Linked DNA regions of Daphnia pulex. The protein of the gene in region 1 binds, or shares a complex with, the protein of each later gene. Links are inferred from orthologs where the notes say so. Each region holds a gene or a part of one and is shown on either strand. Other genes may lie near its edges.

Region 1 (4,395 bases):
TGTTAATTATTTAAATTTAAAGCGGAGACGAAGACCACCAATTGATCGTTCCATGATCGGTTTGCCACAAAATTTTCAACATACTGCTCATATAGGCTCAAGTGACGTAGCCATGGGTTCAAGGCATTTAGTAGCCTTGCAAAATCACATGCAGAGCAAAGGAGGTTATGACACGGCCGTTCCTATTGAAGACGCAGCTTCTAGGCAGGCACCGACAGTGACTGTGACATGATGATGTCCGTCTTCCTGAAATGCGGTCCTTGATTCCTTCTTCTTCTTCTGTACATTACGAAAGCCTTGTAACACTAATCTAACTCGTTGACCAGAACTCTTTTCCCTCTACAAATTAATGATACTCCATTTAATACTAAGTGCAATTTTATGTACAGCCAATTACGTGACAGTATCGCTTCTCAGTGTTTTATGCTACTAATTCGACATTGTCTTATACAATTCAAAGCTTTGACCACTCCCCATCTTCGTTTCATCTTCTCAGCTTCGCCATATATCATACCTAACGAACGATTTGTTGACCAGAAAAAATTATTATTTCAAAATTGTGAAAACGAATGTATTCCGCCCTTCCGCACATAGGTCCAGCCCCAAATTGGGCAACGATCAAATGAAAGAAACAAATTGAAAAAAAAAAATACACAACAAACCAATTGTAATTATTTCTATATTTAATCGCTGTCCTCTTCGCTGCTGCTGGATACTACTCTCACCTTACTTCCACTGCCACCTGCCTCATCATCATCGTCGTTATCATCTTCATCCGGCAGTGCTTTGGCACGTTCCAGTTTCTTCGCTTTACGGTCTTCTATGTCTGAAGCATCTTCTTCAGAAGAATAGATGGGTGGTCTTTGATGTGATGCATCTAATAACCGAGCAAACACGGAGTTCATTATAACAATTAGCGAGGAACATAAAATAAAAGTACAGAAACGTTTACCTCGAGGTCCTCCCCGTTTGTACTTATTTTTAATCGCTGTCAGAGAGATTCCACCTTCATCTTCAGAGTCTTCGTAGCCTTCGCGATCGGGCTCCAAGTAACCACCACTCATGCCACGGCCGGTAGCTGTTCGTTCACGGACGCGTTTTTGTTTCGACTCGCGTCTCACTGAAGCTCTCAACCGTTCCTCCTCTTTCTGCAAGCAAACCGGTCAACCATTTGACGGCACGGTTAATATTTTTCATCAACAAAATAACAAGTAGTAGTGTAATATTAGTAGTATTACCTTGATCTTCTCTCCGCGGTTGGCCTCAGGATCCGCACCGAAAACCCCAATGATCTTAATAGAAGACGTCTTGGTGGAACGCTCGGCAAGAGACTTGGTCATCTTTCGATGGGTGAATGAATCGGTGGAGTGAGGTCGGAAAGTCAACTTGGTGCGGAAGACAGCCTGGCCCTGTAGACCAGTACCTTGCCGAATGAACAAATGATTGTAATCTCCCTAAATAGACCAGACAAATGAGGATTGTTAATAGGCATCTCGTTGAGAAAGAATTGGATAATTATAATTTACCTGCAGGGGTTGTCGGTAAACATCGAAAATTTCAGAGCCAAGATGGAGGGAAAGTGAGCCGTCTGACCATTTAACCATCCGGGCATTACTTTGCTTGAAGGCGTTTCCCTCTTTATCAAAAGCCGTTCGCCATCTGATTGTGTTTTCAACTTTGAGTTTGAGGCGGGCTCGACCTTCTTCGTCGAGGGTCTCCTCTTCTTCCAGCTCGTCTTCGTAGGTTTCGGGGTCATAAGGTCGCGGCTCAACCGACAAGAAATTGGGCAGCTTGACAAAGTGGAACTCACTGCCTACGTCAGCCCGGATGTATGGCAGCTCATGCTCAATTCTCGTCTCTGGAACGGGCTCTTCTGGTTCCTTTTCCTTTTCGTTATCACGGCCTCCGAATTCATCATCCTGTTCCATTTCATCGGGCGATCGACGATCAGGAATGCTGTCTCTATCAGCTTCACTGGCGGCTTTCTCGGGTAGTTTTTGGGTGGGTTTGTTGCCATCGTCGTCGTCGTCATCCTCAGATGACATGTCGACATTTTCACCGAAAAGGGCTTCGGCAGTAGGGCTCGCCATTTTGCTACTTTTACCCCCGGCATCTGAATCTGAAGCCGAATCAGCATCGCTGTCTATGATGCGCTTGATTTTCCTAGTTGAATTAAAATTGAAGTTGAATTAAAGGTTGGTTGATGTGAAATTTGGGGAAATTAGATTTACTTTTTAGTCTCTTCATGTGATGGGGATGACTGAGCTGTGTCTTTGCCATCCTTTTCTTCATCAGAATGATGGCTGGCTGATCTTGCTGAGCTGGAGCTAGATGAACTCCTGCTCCTACTTCCGCTTTGACTACGACTTCTACTCTTTCTCTCATCCAGCACCAAATCTCCATCACCATTCACTTCACTTCCTGATCTACTTTCAGCACTGGCGCTTCTACTCCTGGCTGTAACAATAGAGGGTAATGTTAAATGTCAAATGAATTTTGAGACAATTGTTTACCTTGATCTGGGCTTTGAGCAGACCTAGAAGAACTGCCTGATCTGGAAGCTGCTGATTGTCGGCTACGTACAGAACCTGCTTCTGACTTGCTCCCTGATCCGCTGCTGTCGGAATCGCTACCTGAGGACTTATCATCTGCAAGAATACACAACGGAGTTAAGAAAATGTCAACTTTGAGTCACAAACCTTTCGTACCTTCAGATCCAGAATTTTCAGATTCTTGGTCTTTATAGGGCGCCATTATGGACAAAACTTTCTTCTTCTTTTTTAATAAAGGAAATCGGAATGAAATCAAGCAAACAACACACACCGAATTTCAAAGCTTCGTCTGTTAGAAAGCCTACGGTGGCGACTCAAGTGAGCGAAAAATAAAAGTTCAAAATGCAACCGCTAGATGTCTCGTACGTCCCTGAACGCCAATTAAATAAATTTGGCTCCCACTCCGATGGCAACGCTCAAACCCCCCTCCTCCTCCTCAAGACCTGAGCTGAGAGCCTGAGACCGCCCGTTCTCGAGTCAGTCGTCTTGATGATGGTGAGGAGTTCGTTACAAGAAAACATCGGGAGTGTGCAGCCCGAAATCTTGTGAGTGCGTGCACTGCCCTCGTTGTTAAGCAAACTTTATTTCGAGATAAGACCTGCGCAAAAGAGCATCGTCGTCGTCGTCGTGTTCCTTCGGCCTAAGAGAACAACGATCCTGGCCAAAACATCAGCAGTCCTCCTCGTTGTCTTAGACATTTCCAAGTTTTGTGGAAGCAGTGCGACAAATCGTCCGTTTTTCTTGTGTGTTTCATCTTGACCAAAGTTGAGAGTGTGTGAATCATCAGAAATTTCGTTGTCAAAAGGAAGAAGCACGAGTGCTGTTGTCACACAAACAACTTGAGAGTGTCGTGTATCGGCCCCCCCCCCCTGTCTCAGCAGAAAATAATAAAAACCCATCAGCAAAAAGAGAAACAACACACACACAACCGTTTGGGGTTTTTTCTGTCATGGAGAAGGTCACCCGGACCGGTTTCGCTCGTGGCCCATCGAGTTGAAAACGTTTTCAACAGTTTCTCAAACGTCGATAGATTCCCTTTTGTCGTCGTCGTCTCATTGGGGAAAAGGAGAGCTCTCCTTTCCTTTTTGTCTCCAAAATCTAGAGGTATAAAATCAAGTATATTTGGAGAAAGGGTCATTTGTTATTGTTCCCAGTAGCAGGTGAAAGCCTGGACCTTAATGATTGTTGTTTTCGAACGAAATCGATTGGAAATGCATGTGTTTTTTCTTCTAATCAGGTTTTGCTTCGTCTAGTTATGGAAATGAGATATATTTTCCCTCCTAGGTTTTCTTTTTCCTAAACTTTAAACCACGGAGAGGAGGAGAATTTGATTTAATGGAAGTTTCAGTGGATCACGACACGGGGACATTTTGGGGGCACACCAGGAGTGGTGGTGAAGAAGACCAAGTTGAAACAGAGAAGAAGAAGTCATCCCACCACCGGGAAATGAGTAAATAATCGAGGCGTGTGTAAGAAGTAAACGGAGAACGGCGGAAATATGCCCGAGGAAGAAGTTGATGGCCCGAGGCCAGTCATTGTTGCATACACAGGGACTCCCTCCAGCTTGTCACGTCTGTGACCCTTGTCTTTCTTCTTTTCCATCTCCGACCTAAAATAACACATGGGGTGGAGTTAAAAATCTATATGTACCGTGTATATCTACGGCGGTGGCGTCGAAAACTCAATCAACTTTTCTCCTCTCCCTTCCACCTTATTTATTTACATTTCCTCCCCCCCTTCCATCTTCCTCTAACAGTCCATCCGCGGTTTGATCAAACAGTTGTACAAGGCCCTCTCTGTGCAGAGTGCACAGACGCGGTGTGAGCAGGACACGATTGAATGA
Region 2 (2,629 bases), on another chromosome or scaffold:
GAATTCATCATTTTGCATGATTGAAAAATTTTCATCATTTCTAATCTAAAATACTAAAATATTTTCTAGTTTTCATGTTAATAATTTTCTATTATTTCAATTTCCTCGAGGAGTTTACGAAATAGCCCATCGAGGTTCCTCGTCAGTGGTTCAAATCCTTGGACAAGCTATTTTATTTTTTAAATGTAGATTTCAATCTAATAATTTTTAATTTGATTGCTGAGACGCTAATAGGCTAAAAATCAAAACATTTAAATTATTCGTGTATGAAAAAAGAAAGGTGGATATTGGATAAGCTGAATGAGTATCAGAGTGCAATATTGATTATTCATTCCCTTATGATGATACGGGAAGTTCGGCATAACTTATTTTTAAATTTCAGAATATTTGGCGCGTTATACTTACTATTAATTTTTCTTTCTGTACTGTATTTGTCATTCAATCAGTGTCGTACGACAGTTGATGAATTTTGCATTTGAAAAATCTAAATAAACCCTTAAAAAATTTAACGGTTTCGTAATTAAACTGCGAAAGAAAGGGAGAGGTTTATTTGTCGAATTTCTCAAGGTTTTAGTGTTACATGAACAAAGGTTTTCAATCCGAATCATCAGAGCCAGATTTTGGTGTTTTTGAACGAGATCCAGATTTCGAGCGAGATGTTGACCGCGAACGTGAACCGGATTTCGATTTTGACCTGGAACGTGACGACCGAGAAGAACGCGAAGAACGGGATGATCGACTGACAGAGCGGGATTTAGAGCGGGATTTAGAGCGGGATTTGGATCGTGATTTGGATCGTGATTTGGAACGGGATTTGGACCTAGATTTCGATCGGGAATTTGAACGCGAACGCGATTTGGATCCGGATTTGGATCGCGATTTAGATCTTGAATTCGATCGTCCAGAGGAACGTGAACGTGAACGAGATCCTGATCCCGAACGAGAACCCGAACCAGATCGAGACCCCGACGGAGATCGCGATTTTGCTGGAGAACGAGAGACAGACCGACCGCTGAAGCTCTTTTCTGATCCGGAAGCAATTCTCCTTCGTCGGCTAGTTCCAGCTCCTTCACCACCACTTTCCTCTCCACTGAAAACAAAAGTAATTGTAGTCGGTGAAATAAATTCTTCTGCTTATTAGGAGCTATCGATTTTATTAGAAATTCAAATGTTACTCACCCGCTAGCGATGCGCAGTTTACCACCTTCTTCCGACGAATCATCATCCGAGGAGGAAATAATGGCTTTAGATACAACTTTGCTTTTCTGCTTTGAACTAAGCCCATCGTCGACATCGTTAGATGACTTTTTCCCACTTCCCTTCTTGGCTCCTCTGCCTTCACTTCGACCTTTCTTCTCTTTCGTTCGTCCCCGTTCTTCGCCGCTTTTTCCTTTCTTCCGTGACTTTGTCTCAGTCTGGCGCGGTTTCCGTTCTGCCTTACGTTTCTTTGATGGCGGACCAGCACCCTCATCGCCACTTTGAATGCGATCACTACCGTCCGTAACGAATCCATCTTCGTCATCCTTCTTCTTGCGACTCTAAAATATTACAAAAGGGAAGATTTATAAACGTTTTCTCTATTTAGAATAATCAAGTCTTAGTACCTTCTTGCCCTTTTCGGCTTTTTCTGATGGCATCTCGTTAAATTGAGTCGCTTTCTTCGTTTTTTCAATGAACTCTTCGCGCAACTTGAGTAGCTTCTCTTGCTCTTGTCTACGACTTTCTTCAAGTCTATGCTGTTCCTCGCGCTGCTTCGTACGGAACGCCTCTCTCTCTTCTTCCTGTTTCTTCCTCATGCGCTTCTCTTCCTCTGCAAGACTGCGAGCGCGTGCCACATGATATTGAGCCTTTGGAAAATAATTTAGTTTACAACTACGCTTAATTAACACGATAAAAGATCGATTTACCTGAGAGAGAAGATCTCCACAATGTCTCGCTTCAGCAGCAGCAAAAGCCAAATCATAGCGCATGCGATCGCCATTGACAGAAAGCCACTGGAAGAATTTGTGCGATAGCTGGAGTTCACTGACAGCCTGTAACACCGTTTGCAGATCCGATTTCTCATCCTTGAGAATTTGGGTTGCCAGTCGTTGCAGCACGAGAGCCGTGTTAAACAGGAGAACCGTATCGTGTGGAGCGACGTGCTGGGCTTTAAGTAGGGATAGTTTTGCTTCGCGGAGTTTACCGGCACGAAAGTGTGCGCGTGACAAGTACTGAAGAATTTCAACATGCGGATGTCGAAAAAATTTGCGGATGCAGTTTTCGTACATCTGAATGGCCGAAACATACTGCTTTTGCTCGACATAGATATGAGCGATGTTCAACCACACATCAGAAAAATCGGCAGTAGCTTCACGAACCTAAAAAAAAAAAAAAAAAAATTGTTCCGATTACGTGAAATAAACGAGGGGGAATCACAAGAATTCACTTACTGATGCAAAGATATCACGTGCTTCAGGAATACAGCCTTTGTGAGCTAGCACACAACCGATACCATTCGCAGCCCAAATATTACGATGGTCGTTCTTCAGAACTGTCTTGTACAGTGTAAGTGCGCGGTCTTGATGTCGTTTTTCCTTTTCCTTGTCTCTTGTAGGTACGTGCAGAGTTTGGAGCCAGACGTTACCAA

What was found. The genes of interacting proteins can lie anywhere in the genome.
Region 2: RNA polymerase-associated protein LEO1-like (region 1) and RNA polymerase-associated protein CTR9 homolog share a complex: the UniProt entries of both Caenorhabditis elegans proteins name them as parts of the PAF1 complex. The link is inferred for Daphnia pulex from reciprocal best matches to the Caenorhabditis elegans genes leo-1 and ctr-9.

Annotation. Positions count from the first base shown.
Region 1 is NC_060024.1:10,088,272-10,092,666, forward strand, and holds RNA polymerase-associated protein LEO1-like, read right to left. Parts: upstream 2,861-4,395; 5' UTR 2,755-2,860; coding exon 2,709-2,754; intron 2,649-2,708; coding exon 2,514-2,648; intron 2,458-2,513; coding exon 2,232-2,457; intron 2,164-2,231; coding exon 1,527-2,163; intron 1,455-1,526; coding exon 1,239-1,454; intron 1,149-1,238; coding exon 953-1,148; intron 878-952; coding exon 684-877; 3' UTR 558-683; downstream 1-557. UniProt on the Caenorhabditis elegans protein: Component of the PAF1 complex which is a multifunctional complex involved in transcription initiation via genetic interactions with TATA-binding proteins, elongation and transcription-coupled histone modification.
Region 2 is NC_060027.1:4,806,284-4,808,912, forward strand, and holds the end of RNA polymerase-associated protein CTR9 homolog, read right to left. Parts: coding exon 2,433-2,629; intron 2,361-2,432; coding exon 1,908-2,360; intron 1,848-1,907; coding exon 1,605-1,847; intron 1,539-1,604; coding exon 1,180-1,538; intron 1,091-1,179; coding exon 595-1,090; 3' UTR 521-594; downstream 1-520. UniProt on the Caenorhabditis elegans protein: Component of the PAF1 complex which is a multifunctional complex involved in transcription initiation via genetic interactions with TATA-binding proteins, elongation and transcription-coupled histone modification.